Elephas maximus indicus: one gene and its partner. The protein of the gene in region 1 interacts with the protein of each later gene in a biochemical or structural test. Links are inferred from orthologs where the notes say so. Each region holds a gene or a part of one and is shown on either strand. Other genes may lie near its edges.

Region 1 (9,652 bases):
AGCTTCCTTCAGATTCCTGTCGATTAAAGCGGTTTTTACCTATGTTATCAATGTCTTCTATTCTATGTGTCACTGTTTTTTATTAATAACACATATACATAAAAATACATAGAAAAAACAATTAGAACATTTTACAGTAACTATAACTTTCATATATAAAAACATTTTAAACAATTTCGATTATCTGCAACTTACCATTTTATTCAAGATTTAATTTTAAAAATTAAAACAAAGTATATTTGATTTTAGATAATTTTATAATTATCTAAAATCAAAGCAATATTCAGAAATAATTATACATTGGCTGGTTTACCTTTCTATATGCATCACAAACAAGGATCATTTCATGTAAAAGTCTCCCATCTGGAGTTGTTTTAGGAACAATTTCCCAAAACACCAGGAGTAATTTTTTGATGGTGTGATCCTGAAGTGGGAGCACAAAACGAATGATTGTCATCAGAAGTCCAGGAAGCTTTTCACCATTCAGAATCATTATGATTACTTTCTTCAAAGCTTCAGTCTTTGACTTCACATCTCCTTTTTCTAATTCAAAAATTAAAAATGAAACAAAAAACACAATTATTTTGAAAGAAAATTCCTCAAATAATTTTAAAAGCAATTAAGAAAACATTTTACTTTGTTAGAGACAACGGTCATAAAGGTACTGACCCAAGGGATATGGGTTATCTACCTTGCTTTGCCACGAATAGGCTGTGTATCTCGGCACAAGTTATTTATCTCTGAACCTCAGATTCTTTAAATAAAATATGAAGACACTGATCAGCTCTCTAGTCCCTAATCAATGGGCCATGCAGAGTCCATGAATCTACAGGAATACCGGGAATATATGTCTCAAACACACATGTGGTTATTTTTCAAAATGTATATAGATGCTGTTATGTTAAGTGCTTCTGAATTCAACGCAGTTTTTTTACCAGTGTACTATCTCAAAGTTGCAACCATTACTAACAGGGGAAAATAATACATACGGATTAAAAGTAATGAGATTCAAAGTAAAAGGTAAATAGTTAAAGCAACCCAATATTTCACCAAACAAAAATATATTTGTTACTCAATACTAGAAACTTGCCCTAAAATTCTTTCTCATCTCAATTATCTGAGCTAAAGGAAATAAAAAACACAAAATTTGAGACTACTTATTTATTTATGGGTTGGGGAGGGTAGTTAAGGCAGATGGAATTAAGGATATTATTCCAATTCCAAGCAAGATTTTGTTCTTTACCAGTCCAGCTATAACTTTAAGCATTCTAGGCATCTAGTGATGAAAACTTTTACTACCAAACGTGAATGGTTAAAAAAAAAAAAAAAATGTGACTTTTGTGTATAATGGTATCAGTTTAAGTGTCATAAAAGACGGTTTCTTTTCCCGAAAAATAACCCAAAAAACCAAACCCAGTGCCGTCGAGTCAATTCTGACTCACAGCGACCCTATAGGACAAAGTAGAACTGCCCCATAGTTTCCAAGGAGCACCTGGCGGATCTGAACTGCCGACCTTTGGTTAGCAGCTATAGCACTTAACCACTATGCCACCAGGGTTTCCTCCCTAAAAACAGACTGCAATTAAAGAAAAAAAAAAACACTGCCCTCGAGTGGATTTCAACTCATAGTGACCCTACGGGACAGAGCAGGACTGTCCTGTAGAGTTTCCAGTGAGTGTCTGGTGGATTTGAACTGCCAACCTTTTGGTTAGCAGCTGTAGCTCTTAACCAGTATACGCCACGAGGATATCCAGATTGCAACAGAAATCTAATATAAAGTAGCCTAAAATTAGGAGATATTCCACTACTGCTGAGTAAAAGGTGGAAATAAGCCAGTAAAATATTAAGTCTTTTATCAAACTGCAAACTACATTCTGAAAGATACCTTCAGGTTTTGAAATATAATTTTCACTCTACTGTTTGGTAGTTATCAGTTTAAGATATATGTGTTTAGTAGTTCAATTAAACAAGGATCATTACCTTAGAATGTGCATTACTTCTCAAAATTTTTTTTCTTTATGGACTCACTCACAAATAGGAAACAGTATATACTTTTAGGTTTGTGTTTTCTTCTGTGCAGAATACTTTTTAAAAGGAAAAGCTTAACCTTTCTGGGAAATACATTTTTATTCCATTATTGACTTTATTGGTTCAGCAAGTGGGAAACCCACAGAATAAAGTCCTTTTGGTTTTATAATTCAAGTGACGTGTAGTTTAATTTCCCAAAGGAATTAAGACATTCAAATACACATTATCAGCCTATTATCTACAGACCACTGCCTGATACATTTAAGTATAATATGCTTAACTGCATAAGGCTATTATGTTATTTTGAGGAATATCTAACAACTAAACCATTATGTTTCTTTAGCTTTTACTAAACTGAAATGTTCTACTTCAAAATCCAATATTGCAAGTCTAAAGGTCACAACTTTTCATTTTAAATAAGACAAAAGGTCTACCAAAGAGATTCTACAACGAAATATTCAGACAAAATTAAGCATTTCTAATTATAAAGGAACTTAGAACGCAAATTAGTTTTCACTATCCTTTCTTTTCCATTTCATTTTCAAAATATTACTAAAATTCACCTAGATCATTCTTTAAGCTAATTTCCGATGGTGGTTCTGAATCCATTGGCACGTTAATTAACGTATAGCACACGTTCTCAGCAGCTGTCATGATTTCAGGTTATAATCGACCCTCGATACAAAATTTAAAGAAGGTAGAAAATCTAGAAAAATAAATACAGGATATCATTACACTGTAAAAAACAAAAACAATAACTACTGTGATCTTTACTGTCTAAAGTTCATTTAGTTTGGCTTATAACTTTAAAATATTAAAAGGGGAAGTCAATCTATACTGTGTTTCCATAAAACAAGTCCTAATATAATACAAAACGCACCTGTCAGCCCCAGCCTGTTTATTATCCCCCCCCCCCCCCCCACGGCTTGAGAATGCTGTACTGCAGAATTAAGGTCCACAATATATTGCCAGTCCTCTAGTTCCATCTCACCAACTCACAAACAGTGATTTTTTACATTTTATACAATAGACCTGTTCACGTTAAGAGCCCCTGTACACGAACACTACATCAAAATCTTAAAGCACTTAATCGCTTCTGTCGGTCCCTCAATCCCTGCGCTGCACCCCCGCCCCCACCCCACGCCCCCTTTTTCTTTTCCTCCTGCAAAGCAGATTCTGGCTTGAAAGGGCGAACTTCGGGGTCCTAGGGAGAAGACCCCCGGCCAGTAAGCAAACCGGGATGAGGCGTTCGGTCCAGAGCTCCCCAGCCCCCCGTTCCCCTTCGCAAGGCCCCGACCCGAGCGGCCTAGTCGCTCCCCTTCCGCATCTTCCTGCTAGAAAGCCAGTTCTTCCAGCTCTGTCCGGCCCTCCACGCCTCCAGGGTTGGGGGCCAGTGGCCTGCTACCTGGCTTTGAGGGGCAGCAGCTGGGGCAACGGCGGGACCGTCTATTCCGGTTCCAAACCGCGGCAGCGGCGGCAGCTCCCGAGTCCTTGGCTGACGTGGAAGAGGGCGGGGAGGCGGTCCAGGCCGCAGCCACCTAGCACCTACGGCAGCCCAGAGAGGACATGCCTTCTCCGTCCTGCAGATGCGCGCCGCAAGTGGGTCCGGCTCTAGCCCCCGCCCCTTGTCCGCGGATGATTCAGGTCGCCGAGAGTGGTAGCAGATACTTTGAGTTTTCCCTACAAGCAAAGCTAAACCGAGCGCTATGGTCACTTAAACGCTACTTGGAAATTGTTTCTTTTTCCGGGAAGTGTAATAGCCAAGTGCTAGATAGGGGAGATATTTTACAAGGTTTTGTGGTCCGGTGGATAAAGCTCTGAACTGGGAACTGGAAGCCCAAGAGTCTTTTCTAACTCACCCATTAATTAGAGGGAAACTAATTACTATTTGGGATAGTAACTCCAGTTCTTCTAATAAGAAACACTAGATTTTCTCGAAAATCCATTTCGGCTCTTAAAATGTACTCTGGATCTTAGCCTCTGCATTTGGGCTAGAGTAGCTTGAACATCAAAATCCCATTGATAATGTTTCTGCTCTCTTTATTTAGTAATAGTCCTTTTCGTAATCCCTTCCAAGCATCCAGTAGATTAAAATTATGGAAACTATGTATAACGTGGGACTGACAGTCAATATTTTAAAAATATTTTACCAATCTCCACAGATTGGTAGAGCTACGATCAGCCACAGCACTTTTGGTTTTGCTCGTTTGAGGTTCCTTTTTTTTTTTTACCCCGCCCCCCCCAAAAATTTTTCCCCGCAAATTGTTAACAAGTAAACATTGAGAGGCTTTTACAAAACATTCAAAGAGATTTGACAGAACCTGTCCTTGTAGTGCTGCATCTATCTAGAATCTGTCTATTTTGAGATTTCTCCTTTTGGAAACATTAAGCAAAAAATAAATTCTTTGAGCACCCAAAATATGTCACGAAGTCTATGTGTTCACTGCACTTTAATTACGAGTGCCCTCTGATGCTGTGTATTCATTTTTTTTTTTTAAGCTCTTTATCTTGAGATGATCCACATGTGGCTGTAAAATAACAGAGATCCCATATACCCTTCACCCGAATCCAGGAAGTTGGCTTTGATACAATCTACCCATCCTTATTGATTTCACCAGCTTTACATGCACTCATTTGTGTATTTAGTTCTATACACTTTTATCAAGTTTAGATTCATTTAACCACTACCACAGTCAAGATAGAGGAAAGTTCCATGACAAGGATCCCTCTTGGTACCCTTTCACAGCCAGTCACCTCCCCCTCTACCTTTGTCCCTAACCCGTCACAGCCACTAACATGTTCTCTATCTCTATAATTGTCATTTCAAGGATGTTATATAAATGGAATCATACAGTGTAACCTTTTGAGTCTATTTTGACTCAGCATAATTCCTTTGAGCTCCATCCAAGATGTATCAATAGTCCTTTCCTTTTCTGTGTATTTAACATAGAATCCTTACAAATGCAGTTATTTTGTCCCCAATCCTATTTGATTTGGCAACAAGTGACAGTCTGTCAGCAGAAAATTAGTGCTCCCCCCAAAAAACAAAACAAAACAAAACAAAAAACTAGACTCAGCAATAAGAAAGCTCAGGAGTTTGAAGCCACCTATAGTACAGAACCAACCATACCCACTTCAGATGCCCAAGGCTCATTTTGTTACAGAATAAAGCATGACATTTATCGAGGTGAGCCCTAGTCATTAAGGAAACTAAATATGAAAAGGCAAGAAAATGTAATATATCTTATAAAACTTTATTTTAGGTCTACACCTAAAGTTGGCTTGGACAGTGCATTTTTTTTTCCTTGAATACAGCCCTTGTCGAAGTTATCAGGACCTTATATGGCCTCGCTAATTCTTTTCCTGATACAACATGCACTTTGTTTTGAGACTTTTTATCCTAGCAAGTAATTACAGGATTTTGAATGCTTTTCTAGTTACAAATTATTTGAGAGCAAAGATCTTGTCATATTTCAAAAATCGTAATAATTTAGATGTCTAGGAAATTGACGCTTAGAGAGAAGTGACTCTCCCAAAAATCACAGTGGTTAAACACTGAAAAAGCTAGACCCAGAACCTGACCCTATTACCTACTTTAGTGCCTTTTATTTTTAACCATGCCAGTTCTTCAGAGCTGCACATATAAATGTTCACCAAATTCTTGGTGAACTGATTATCTTTACATCAAGGGGATAGGTTTTATGTATCATCTAATTGTTGACAGAGGGGACATTATCAGGAATTTTATTGTTTATAATTACTCAATACAGATTAAATAGAATAACTTTGAGTATTAACAGACTAGACACACAACACGAAAGGGCACCACAATGAATTTTGTACATATGGTATAGCTGAATATTATTGGGGTGGGGAGGATTTTAAGTTCTAGAGTCACTGGATAAGAACAAAATCACGTAGTATAAAAGATTACTAAAACTGCCCCTGAAGTACAATACAGATCACTGTTTTTTTTTTTTTTGTATTGTTTTCTTTTCAGCTGAGCACCGAAAAGTACAAAAAAAAAAAAAAAAACACAAAAGATGCACACACATATAGTCTTTATCTTTAAAAATAGAATCACTCAGCAAAGGCAGACACTCTCACAATGAAAGGCACAAGGGACATGAGACCTTGCTAAGGAAAAGAGATTATTAAACTTCCCACTTATACTCTTCTCCAGGCTGTAATCTCATTTTGGCAATGATGGCGGTGGAAAGAGTCCCTTTCCTTCACTAGTTATTTCTGTGTGTGTGTGTGAAAGTTGCACATGCTTGATGTTGGTTGTAGATCAAATGGCCACATGGTACCTGTGGCCTAGTCCCAAGCTTAAGTGGCAGACTGATAACCCTTGAGGCTACTTCTAGAGTAGAGGCCAACATCTCACCAATTCCAGTATAGTAAGAGGTCTTTCTCTCAGCAAGGCAGCCACTGATTCTCTCACCACACTCCCTTTAAGAAGTCAGAGACTTAAACTCACTAAAGTTTTTAAAATTTTGAGCAACCTGAAAAAAAAATTTAACATTTTACTAACTTTAGAGTTCACAAAACATTTTCACATAAATTCTCCTGTCTAATCTTCACAACCGAAACCCTTGTGGCATAGTGGTTAAGTGCTACCACTGCTTACCAAGAGGTCAGCAGTCAAATCCACCAGGTACTCCTTGGAAACTATGGGGCAGTTCTACTCTGTTCTATAGGATCTCTATGAGTTAGAATCGACTCGACAGCAGTGGGTTTTTTGTTTTAATCTTCGCAGTAATTCTCCAGGGTTTCCTTAAAATAGGGCTAAGTAACCTGCCCAAAGCCAATAGCAGCTAATTGGTAGAATTGGGATTAAAATCCAGGTTCCTATCTATAAACAAACATCTCCTCTCTAAAAAATGTAATATCTCAGAAAAAATAACTCCTCTATGCCTCTTGGCACAGTGGTTAAAGTGCTTGGCTGCTAACTAAAGGGTGGGTGGCTTGAAACCACCATTGGCTCAGTAGGAGAAAGATGTGGCAGTTTGCTTCCATAGAGACTTACAGCCTTGGAAACCCTATGGAGTTGGTATGAGTGGAATCTACTTGATGGCAGTGGGCAGTGGGTATGCCTCTTAGCCAGAGGCCTAATTGGGGGGGCGGTGGTCACAGGTAGGGTATGTGCCCTGGGTGGCCTGTGCTTGCCCTGGGCACCCGTTGAGGCAGAGGGACAGTTAGCAGTTTCTATTGGCCATCACAGATTCCATCGCAAGCTGAGAGATCATTCAGCAATTTAACACTAATTACCCTAGGTCCTATTTTTTGTAACTTTGCTTTTAGCAGCAAAAGTTTTGTATCGTTGATTTTTTCACAAAAGTCACATTTCCTCTAATTTGCAAAAAATATAAGTTATTCTGCAATATCTGGGTATGTAGCTCATAGGCAGGGATGGAGTACCTGATAAGCAAGGTTTAATTGTGCTTCTTTACTAATCTGTAGTGTACAATGTCACCTGGCTTTTGAAAACCAGTGAAACTGTGCACTACAGATTAGTAAGCACAATTAAGCCCCTGCATACCTTGCTTAATGTCCCTTGCTTACCGCAAGCTGGTGCATACCGTGCTTACTGGTTAATCTGCCCTGCTCATGGGAATGATGGGAAGGCAGTCCGAATACTATGCTGGAGTGGGGCTAGAAGGATGAGGAAATGATGGTTTTAGATTAAAATTTCCATTTTATTTTTGTACTAGTTGGCTACACTGAAATCAGAGCTATCACTACTGCCATCTGCTGGTTGAAAAGAAAAGCAGCTCATATGTTAATAATCTTGGTACATTTGTTAGGAAGTGGTAGTTTCTTAGGCTTTAATTAAGAATTTGTATTATGAACCATATATCCAGAGATTCTCATGCAGCCAGTCCATACATTGGGAAATTGTTTTAAGTCTGTGATAGATAGGAAGTATTATTTTTCCACATCACTAAAAAGAAGGTAATTTAATTTGGCAAACATGGCAAATACCAGTTGTAATCCCAGACTACTATTTACAGTTGAAGCTACTTAAAAAATAAACAAACAAAAATAAAATACCCAATACACCAGAAAGTGAAACAATTTTATTTCATAGTTGTCTTTGAAACCACAAAGACACTATGTTCTTCATATAAAAACATTAGTACAGGTACCCTATACTTTCTAGAAAATGATTATATAGGCCCTCTCAAAGAAAAAATGAACCCCATCACATGGTTTCAATTAGGTTGTTTGCAAAAAGCTCACATCTGGACTGATTCCTAAAACATACCATTCTACAACTCTGCATCTTTTGATTCTTAAAGTACAGATTACTGTCACCCAGTTCTCTTCCTGCATTCTTACATATTTGATGATACATATATAGACTGCTTTATCACTTAATGTTCCATCGGTTCATCAGCCTTTTCTGCAGGTTCATCAGAAGGTTGAGCAGGCTTAAGAGGGGAAGAAAAAAGAAAATATGTTAAAACAAACAAACAAAAAATACTTGCATGATCAACAGGTACTTCTAATCACAAATATTATAAGAATTATATAAAAATTATTTCTTAAATACTTTTTTTAAAAGGGGGTTGGGGATATTTCGGATATGCGATTTCAGTTCATTATCCTGCAAAATTTCTGAACAAAGGCTTTTCAAAATAGATATAATTACAGCTCTGAAAATCTAAATATCGTTGAATAATTCCAGCATTTTATCACACTTCACTCTTGCTCAAGAGTAGAGGCCTTCCTTATAGTATCACTATTAGCACTAAAATACAATCAGCACTTTTTGGATATTCTTACGCCCTCCACCACCAATCAACACAGCACAAATACCATCAAGTAAATCAGCTGTGTGGCACTCAACACCCTTCACAAACAACGATAGTTCACATAACCAACAGCAATTTAAATAATCCAAATAATACCAACAACATCCTTTTCAAGTTGAAAAAACTCATGCTGTAGAAGAAATTTCTGCACAGTATACTTTTTTATTTTCAATTATACAACTATCAAGTAAGCACCTATAAGTAGCAAGTGTGTATTCTAAACATCCACCAAGACCCCTATTTAACCTGAAGTTCACAAACACTTCCTGAACCTTTTTCTCAGTTTTTATGAAGAGCCAACTTAAGCATCCAAAGCTGGTTCTCAGCTAATCATTTCTCGTCTCCACCCAAATCAAATCTGGGCTAGCCCTGTGACTAGCTTTAGCCAAGAGAATGTGCAGAAGTGATGCTGTGCTAGTCCTCAGCCTCACATGAAAAAAGCCTGGCAGCTTTCACTTTTGAACTTTTGCAAGCCCTGAGCTGTCATGTAAGACCAGCTACCCTGCTATAGAAAAAAAAAAAAAAAAAAAACCTGGTGAAAGAGAGGTCCTGAGATGAGGCCCAGCCACTTACAGCTGAGGTCTCAGCCTTCTAGCTGCCCCTTTAAGGCACCAGACATGTAAGTAAAGCTGTCTTGGACATTCTAGTCTCATCCCCCAATCTGTCGGCAACATTTGAGACCCCAAGTGGGACCAGCAAAAAAAGCCATCCAACTGAGCCCCAGTCAACCCACAGAACTGTGAGAAATAATGTTTGCTGTTTTAAGCCCCGAAGTTTTGGGGTAGCTTATGATATAGCAATAGCTA
Region 2 (9,626 bases), on another chromosome or scaffold:
CCTCCTGTGATTCATTATGAAAAGACTCCAACAATTTCAGGTCAAACTTATGGTGTTACAGGCCATATCTAGCGAAGACCCATCTGTCTCTCACGGTAGGCTGAATCAGACATAGAGAGATTTCTACTCCTTTAGGCAGGCGAACAACCAAATGTCATCTTGAAGCAGTTACAGAAGAAGAGATCTCCATCCTCACTCTCTCCTAAAGACTTAAAAAAAAAAAATTTTTTTTTTTTTTTTTTTTATGAAATCTCTCAGAGGCGAATGAGACAGGATTAGGCTAGAGCAGGGCCACTTGGGCCCCTGGCACATAGGCTGGGAGAAGGTCAAACAGGACAGACTATAGAATAAACAGCCCGACCTACTGGCAGTGGTGCAACCATAACCTACCTCCTGGAGATTAGAACAGAACACACAGGCCCTGTGGGGTTAAATGTTCCAGCTGTGGGGTGAAATTAACTGAAATATTCTAGGATGTTGCAAATAAACTGTTGATGTAGCTCTTGCAGGTCTCCACAGGTGCAGAGCATGCACAAAAGAAGTAATAGCGACTGCTGTTTGACCTTCCCTGGCCCACTGGAGGGGCAATGTGACGAAGGGAACCAGTGCACTGGTGTCACATCCCAATGAGTCATGTCAAGGGGAGCCAAAGGGCTTCCATCCTGAAGAAATCCTGTGTGCGCACCCGCATTTACATAACTCAGTCCCTTCTCAAAAATCTCTGCCCTTTCCCTGAAAACGTCATGAATAAACACCAAGACCCCTAGTTGTTGAAACCCTTAAATACCTGGCTCTTAGGCAAATTAGGGAGACAGTCGCTCTGAAGGTTCTAGCCCTTACTGTCTCCTTTTGCTAGCTGCTGGCAAAATAAATTTGCTGGTGTGACTCCAGGCTGTCTCACTAGTCTTACTAGGTGGTGTGAATCTGGTTGGGTTCGACTGAGGTAGGGGTTTCGGTAAGAGCATGACATAGTTTATAAAGAAAATGTTGTATATTCTGCATTGGGGAGTAGCGTCTGGGATCTTAAAAGCTGTGAGCAGCCATCTAAGATACTCCACTGGTCTCACTCAGTTGGGAGCAAGGGAGAATTAAGAAAACTAAAGATACAAGGGAAAGATTAGTCCAAAGGACTAAGGGATCATCACTACCATGATTCCAGTGCAACTAGGAGGTGCCTGGCTACCACCACTGACTGCTCTGACAGGGATAACAACAGAGGGTCCCAGATAGAGCTGGAGAAAAATGTAGAAGAAAATTCTAACTCACACAAAAAAGACCAGGTTTACTAGAAACTTAGAGTATGGCCCCTGCACACCCTTTTAGCTCAATAATTAAGGCAATCCTGAGGTTCACCCCTTAGCCAAAGATTAGACAGGCCCATAAAGCAAAATGAGACCAGCCCAGGGGCAATGACTAGAAGGTAGGAAGGGGCAGGAAAACTGGTAATAGTGAACCTAAGATCGAGAAGGGAGAGTGTTGACATGTTGTGGGGCTGTTAACCAATGTCATAAAACAATATGTGTACTAGCTGTTTAATGAGAAGCTAGTTTGTTCTCTAAACCTTCATCTAAAAAAAAAGAAAACAGACTAATAACCCAATGTAAAAAATGGGCAAAGAATATGAACAGACACTTCACCACAGAAGACATTCAGGTGAGTAACAGACACAGGAGGGAATGCTCGAGATCAGTAGCCATCAGAGAAATACAAATCAAAACTGAAATGAGATACTATCTCACCCCGACATTACTGGCACTAATTTAAAAAAAAAAAAAAACAGAAAATAACAAATGTTGGAGAGGTTTTGGGGAGACTTCAACTCTTACGCACTGCTAGTAGGAATGTAAAATGGTACAACCACTATGGAAAATGATAGGGCACCTCACTAAAAGGCTATAAATAGAGATACTGTATGATCCAGAAGTTCTACTCCTAGGAATATATCCTAGAGAAATAAGAGCTGTCACATGACTATGCACACCCATGTTCATTGCAGCATTTTCACAATAACAAACAGATGAAAACAACCTAAATGCCCATCAATGGATGAGTGAACAAATTATGGTACATACACACAATGGAGTACTACCCAATGATAAAGAACAATGATGAATCCTCGAAACATTTCATAACATGGATGAATCTGGAGGGCATTAAGCTGACTGAAATAAGTCAATCACAAAAGGACAAATATTGTAGAAGACCACTATTATAAAAACTCAAGAAAAGGTTTACGTGCAGAAAAAAACAAACAAAACAATCTTTGATGGTTCTGAGGGAGGGGAGAGGTGGGGAGGGAAAAACACTGACTAGATAATAGATAAGTGGTAACTTTGGGGAAGGGTAAAACAGTACGCAATACTGGGGAAGTCAGTACAACTTGACCAAGGCAAAGACATAGAAGCTTCACAGATACATCCAAACTCTCTGAGGGACCAAGTTACTGGGCTGAGGGTGGGGACCATAGTCTCAGGGGACATCTAGCTCAATTGGCATAACATAGTTTATAAAGAAAATGTTTACATCTGACTGTGGTGAGAAGTGTCTGGGGTCTTAAAAGACTGCAAGCGGCCATGAAAGATACATCTATTGGTTCCATCTTGGCTGGAGCAATGGAGAATGAAGAAAACTGAAGACACAGGGAAAGATTAGTACAAAGGACTAATGGACAACAACTACCATAACCTCCAGCAAACTAAGCCCAGAACTACTAGATGGTACCCAGCTACCACCACAGACTACTCTGACAGGGATCACAATAGAGTGTCCTGGATAGAGAAGGAGAAGAATGTAGAACAAAATTCAAATTCACAAAAAAGACCAGATTTGCTGGTCTGACAGAGACTGGCGAACCCCCTGAGACTATGGCCTCTGACACCTTTTTAACCCAGTACTGAAGTCACTCCTGAGGTTCACCTTTCAGCTCTGGTGGCATAGTGGTTAAGAGCTACTGCTGCTAACCAAAAGGTCAGCAGTTCGAATCCACCAGGTGCTCCTTGGAAACCCTATGGGGCAGTTCTACTCTGTCCTTAGGGTTACTAGGCGTTGGAATCGACTCAGTGACAACAGGTTTGGTTTATAGAGTAAACAATAACACATTCGAGGAAAGTGCTTCGTAGTACAATCACATTGTTGTTGTTAGGTGCCGCCCAGTCGGTTCCGACTCATAGCAACCCTATGCACAACAGAACGAAACACTGCCCGGTCCTGCGCCATCCTCAAAATCGTTGTTATGCTTGAGCTCGTTGTTGCAGCCACTGTGTCAATCCACCTCGTTGAGGGTCCTCCTCTTTTCTGCGGACCCTGTACTCTGCCAAGCATTGTGTCCTTCTTCAGGGACTGATCCCTCCTGACAACATGTCCAAAGTATGTAAAACGCAGTCTCGCCATCCTTGCTTCTAAGGAGCATTCTGGCCACACTTCTTTCAAGACAGATTTGTTCGTTCTTTTGGCAGTCCATGGTGTATTCAATACTCTTCGCCAACACCACAATTCAAAAGCGTCAACTCTTCTTCGGTCTTCCTTATTCGTTGTCCAGCTTTCACATGCATGTGATGCCATCGAAAATACCATGGCTTGGGTCAGGCGCACCTTAGTCTTCAGGGTGACATCTTTGCTCTTCAACACTTTGAAGAGGTCCTTTGCAGCAGATTTACCCAATGCAATGTGTCCTTTGATTTCTTGACTGCTGCTTCCATGGCTGCTGATTGTGGATCCAAGTAAAATGAAATCCTTGACAACTTCAATCTTTTCTCCATTTATCACGATGTTACTCATTGGCCCAGTTGTGAGGATTTTTGTTTTCTTTATGTTGAGGTGTAATCCATACTGAAGGCTGTGGTCTTTGATCTTCATTAGTAAGTGCTTCAGGTCCTCTTCACTTTCAGCAATCAAGGTTGTGTCACCTGCATAACGCAGGTTGTTAATGAGTCTTCCTCCAATCCTGATGCCCCGTTCTTCTTCATATAGTCCAGCTTCTCGTATTATTTGTTCAGCACACAGATTAAATAGGTGTGGTGAAAGAATACAACCCTGACGCACACCTTTCCTGACTTTAAACCGATCAGTATCCTCTTGTTCTGTTCAATCACATGTACCAGACTAAATGCGCACACCAGCCCAAAAACAAAGACAGAGGGCAGGAAGGGACCGGAAAATTGGATGAATGGAAATGGGGAACCCAGGATGGAGAAGCGGAGAGTGTTGGTACATCTTGGGGTTGGCCACCAATGTCACAAAACAAATGAGAAATTAATTCGCTCTATAAACTTTCACCTAAAGCACACGCACACACACAAGAAAAACCTCACCATTTTAAAGCGTACAATTCAATGATTTTTAGTATATTTGGCAAGGTTGTGCAGCCGCCATCTGTTACCTAATTCTGGGACATTTTCATTCAAATCTTGTACCCATCAGCATTAATTCCCAGTCTCCACCCCCATCTCACCTCACTCCCACCTCTTGCAACCACTAATCTACTTTCTGTCTCTATGAATTTGTTTATTCTGGACATGTCATACAAATGGAATCATACAATAAGTGGCTATTTTGTGCCTGGCTTTTTTTACTCAGTATATTTCCAAAGTTCAGCCATGCTGTAGCATGTATCAGTACTTCATACCTTTTTGCGGCTGAATAATATTCCATTGTATGGATATGTCACTTTTTTTACCCAATTATCAGTTAATGGACATTTGGGGTTTTCCACTTTTGGGCTATATGATGCCATGAACATTAGTGTACAAATTTTTGTGTGGACATATGATGGAATTGCTGGATCACATGGTAACTCTGTTTAACTTTTTGAGGACCTGTTTTCCAAAGCAGCTACCCTATTTTATATTCCAACTAGCAATGTGTGGTGGTGTTGTTGTTAGGTGCTGTGGGGTTGATTCGAACTCAGACTGACCCTACATACAAGAGAAGGAAACACTGCCCAGTCCTGCTCCACCCTCACAATTGTTGCTATGTTTGAGTCCATTGTTGTAGCCACTGTGTCACTCCATATCATTCAGCACTGACCCTCTACTTTACCATACGGTCACTATGAGTCAGAATCAACTCGATGGCAATGGGTTTTGGTTTATTTTACCAAGCATGATGTCCTTCTCCAGGGACTGGTCCCTCCTGATAACATGTCCAAAGTACGTGAGACAAAGTCTTGCCATCTTTGCTCCTAAGGAGCATTCTGGCTGTACTTCTTCCAAGACAGATTTGTTTGTTCTTCTGGCAATCCATGGTACATTCAATATTCTTTGCCTACATAATAATTCAAAGCCATCATTGTAGGAGGATTTTAATTTCTCCATATCCTCCACAACACTTGCTATTGTCCATCTTTCTTAATGTAACCATTCTAGTAGGGGTGAAGTCATAGCTAGTTGTGGTTTTGATGTACATTTCACTAATGACTATAGATATGGAGCACCTTTTCATGTGCTTATTGGCCATTTGTATCTCTTCTTTGAAGAAATGTCTCTTCAAACCTTTTGCCCATTTTTAAATTGTGTTGTCTTTTTATTGTTGAGTTATAAGAATTCTTTATATATTTTGGATACTAGCGCCTTGTGCACATGGGTTATTTTGAATATTAAATTATATAGTGTCTATGAGAGCGGCTTTATAAAATGTTTCAGAGGTGACTCAAACTGAGGCGATAACAAACAGTGAAAAGACAGATGTATGCAAGTTCCACGTCTGCAGGCGAGCCGGGACGTAACCTGCGCGTGGGGCTTGCAGCCGGGTATCCTCAATTTCCCCACCCCACCAAGCCCCGCCCTCCGTCCTTTGACCCGCGCCGTTTCCGGTTGGAGACGTGGCTCGGGACCGCCATCTTGGCAAGAAGCGAAGCGGCGGCGGCTCCTGTCAGGGGGGCGGCAGGTCCGGAGCGGCCGGTGCTCCCCTTCCCCTAACCCCAGCCCTCTGCCCAGTGCAGCCGGAGCGTGGGTGCGCCCCACCACCGCCGTCACCATGGTAAGACCCAAGCCGGGCTCGAACTCTCGGGGTCTGGGCCTCACTCGCCCCCTCTCACTGCCGGCCGGGCTGGTACGGGGACCAGAGGAGCCGCGCCCCTAGGGCCTCGAGCCAGGCGCCCTCCTCGGGCTCGGGCAGCGGTGTGGCCTACCCCCGCTCTTGGCCTCCGGGAGGCCCGAGGGAGTTGACGCCAGTCCCTCTGTGGTCGCACCCTCCCCACACCCCAACCGGCTGGACTCTTCTCTAGACCCGGCAGCTCGGACGGGGCAGGGTCTTGGCTCTGCGAGGACCTTGTCGTCGATGTCCTCTGGGCTCTGCGCTGCGGACTTCGGCGCTACTGCCGGGTCGCTTCCGTGGACGCTTCGGCTCAGCAGCATAGGCCTCTCCTGAGGGGGCTTCTCTTCCTTCTGTGTTCAGCTTGTCTCTCATCCCTGGTGTTTGATAGGCCATTGATGTAGAAATACAAATGGGTTGGTGTTCAGGACTTTGGTTTGTCCGATTGGGGGAAATGGCATAGACCGGGGAGGAGTAACTTCTAACACTAATTTGTAGGATCCTGTGAGTCGGAATCGACTCGACGGCACTGGGTTGGGTTTGGTTTTTGGTTAGGGCTCCTGAAAACTTCGACCACTTTTATAGAACCTGCTTGTATCCATTTGTCTTTGTGACTGAGCGTACGCTGGGGAAATGTCAGTCAGTTACCGGAAGACAGGATTTCTGTCTTCAAGGCATTTATTGTTCAGGTGAAGAAAATATGTACGTGGCTTATGATTGATTAGATGTCTCACAGGACAAGGGGTAAAGGGCTGGGTGGGCCTTACGCTGAGACCTGTTACATAGCCTTTAGTTGCATTATCTTTGTGCTCTCATCCATTGTAGAGATGGAAAAAATTAATGCAGGTGAGAATAGGACAAAACACGACAATGTTGATTCCACTGAATCTTGCTTTATCACTACTGATTTGTGGACATTGATGAAGTAGAAGAAATTAGTCTGTTCCAAACAAGCTACTGAAGAATTTTTTAGGGCACCTTATGCCTTTCAGTCTTTTAAAGGGCGTTCTTTTTTTTTTTTTTTTAATTCTTTTTTTGCCAATAGATTAATAATTTGCTTTAAAGCATCTTCCTAACTCCTTGAGGATGGCAGTATAATTTGGTGCTATTCATAGTAAGTGCTATCAACAATTTTTTAGGTGAAAACCTGGGTGGTGTTGGGATTCATGCTTGGGTTTTAAACCACTGAAAGGTTTGATTCATAGAACTTTTGTGTTACACACAAAATATCCAAAAACTTTTTTTTTTTTTTTTTCAATTCTACTAGGAGGCTTAGTATCCAGACAGTGATTTTTAAACTCCTTTTCCTTTTACGCACTGGAAGTATTTGTAGTGCGTTTTAGAGCATATACTTTTAATAGCAAAGTTAAAGCCTTGTATTATATAAATCAAATATAGATAATCTGTATAAAAACCTTGCTTGTTAAAAGGTCATTGGAACTTAGTAGTTTTAATTCACCAATAACTGAGGAATGGTAAAGCCGTAGGTATTGAGCATACAATTTTGTACAGATTTTGTAAAAATACATTTTGTATACTCAATAAAGTATACATTTTATATGTTATTTTGACATATGTGTACATACATACAGTTGTGACCTGTTTAAATATTCATATATTTCTGAATTATTTGGGAATTGGCATGATTCAGATACCCACATATTTGTATATTCGGGAGAACAACTTAATCTCAGTCCATTCTGCTCTGTAGAGTCCTAAGACATTGGCATTATTTCTGTGCAGTGTCTTTGAATCCTCCTCCTTTATGACAGTAAAAATATCCAAATAGGGTAAAATTTTGTCCTTGTATTGTTAGGACTTCTTTGAACTAAAAGTTCTATCAAAACTTCTAAAAGTTGATTTTTTTTTCCTCAACATTTTATTATAAAATTTTCAAACATAAGAAAAGTTGAAAGGGCTTTACAGTGAACACCCATATGTCTGCCAGCTAGATTCTATAACCAGCATTTTACCCTCCTTGTTTTATCACACATTTAATCATCCCTCCATGCATCTTTTTTTCTGCATTTCAAAGTAAGGTGCAGATATCTGCACATAAAAGTTGGTTTTGAAAAATAAGTGTTTCTTTTGGCTTTAGTTGGAGCCTTGGTTAAGAGCTCAGCTGCTAACCAAAAAGCCAGCAGTTCAAGTCCACCAGCTCCTCCTTGGAAATTCTGCTCCAGTCGACTCAGCGGCAGTGGGTTTGGTTTGGTTTTTGGTTTGGGCCTTAGTTACTGAAGTATATGCAGAATGCCCTAGACTACACAGTCTGAGTATATAGGTGAACAAATGCAAAAGCAGGTGGCTTATGATGGCTGTTAGAAAATGAAATAATGGGATCTTTTGATTGGATCTTTTTTCTAGTTTTTTGCAAATTAGTGAGAAAATATTCTTAACATTAGATAATGTTATAATCAGTTCTTTTTCTTAATAAACTTACATTTGAACGCATAAAGTTGTTATTTAAGTCTTTAATGGTAGCAAGCCATCTGTGAAATCTTTGCTTATCTACAGAGTGTTGTTCTTTTCTTATTTGCTCAGAATAGGCAGTGAGTAAACTTACTAGTAAACTTACTCATTAGGACCCTAGTGTTCCTAAAACCACTTATGGTGGTGGTTGCATTAAATAGAAATGATAGTAGATTCAGTTCCAAAAAGTCATTAGTTATTGGAAAGCTAGATTTGGGCCTTGCATAGCTAATCTAACGGTGCCCTGGTGGTGTAATGGTTAAGCACTTGGCTGCTAACCAAAAGGTGGGCAGTTGAAACCCACCAACGGCTGCGAGAGAAAATCCTGGCTATCTGCTCCTGTCAAGATTACAGCCAATCAGCCTGGTGCTAGGCTCTGCCAAGGAACACAACAGAGAGTCCCTGACTGAGGTGGAGAAGTGTGGAACAGAACTCAACTCACATAAAAAGACTAGACTTACGGTCTGACTGAGACTGGAGGAACCCCCAAGGCCATGGCCCTCGGAAACTATTAACCTGGAACTAAAACCATTCCCGAAGCCCACTCTTCAGACAAGGATTACACTGGACTATAAAACATAAATAATACTCGTGAAGAGTGTGCTGCTTAGTTCAACCAGATACAGGAGACCAAATAGGTGGCTCCACGCCAGAGGCAGGATGAGAAGGCAGGAAGGGACAGGAACTGACTGGATGGACACAGGAAACCCTGGGTGGAAAGGAGAGTATTGTAGGGATTGCAGCTAGTGTCACATGACAATATGTGTATAAAAAGTATAAGGGATGAACTTGAGCTGTAAAGTTTCGCCTAAAGTACAATTAAAAAAAAAAGATACAGCCAAGAAAATCCCGTTGCACTGTACTCTGTCACATGGAGTCACTATGAGTTGAATCAACTCAGTGGCACCCAACAACAACAAATGGGTAATCTGCACCTGCTGGGGGGAGAAACTGAAGTCTTGCATAGTAATAACCACGACCGTCTGGTCGGTTTGAACTGCTGACCTTTCGGTTAGCAGCCAAGTGCTTAACCCACTGTGCCACCAAGGCTCCTTTGCACAATAATAACAGATCCCAATTAAGCAATTATTATTTTTTGCCTTCTTCATAAACAGTACAGCAGCTGT

Evidence for each region.
Region 2: the proteins of COPB1 (region 1) and ARCN1 form a complex in vitro, tested with the Homo sapiens proteins (2 studies listed by BioGRID). The link is inferred for Elephas maximus indicus from reciprocal best matches to the Homo sapiens genes COPB1 and ARCN1.

The regions. Positions count from the first base shown.
Region 1 is NC_064825.1:69,832,596-69,842,247, forward strand, and holds the start of COPB1 (coatomer subunit beta), read right to left. Parts: upstream 3,552-9,652; 5' UTR 3,434-3,551; intron 2,735-3,433; 5' UTR 2,683-2,734; coding exon 2,592-2,682; intron 544-2,591; coding exon 314-543; intron 1-313. Other genes in the region: PSMA1 (proteasome subunit alpha type-1), read right to left, coding at 8,406-8,462. UniProt on the Homo sapiens protein: The coatomer is a cytosolic protein complex that binds to dilysine motifs and reversibly associates with Golgi non-clathrin-coated vesicles, which further mediate biosynthetic protein transport from the ER, via the Golgi up to the trans Golgi network.
Region 2 is NC_064835.1:11,059,133-11,068,758, forward strand, and holds the start of ARCN1 (coatomer subunit delta), read left to right. Parts: upstream 1-5,808; 5' UTR 5,809-5,973; coding exon 5,974-5,976; intron 5,977-9,626. UniProt on the Homo sapiens protein: Component of the coatomer, a cytosolic protein complex that binds to dilysine motifs and reversibly associates with Golgi non-clathrin-coated vesicles, which further mediate biosynthetic protein transport from the ER, via the Golgi up to the trans Golgi network.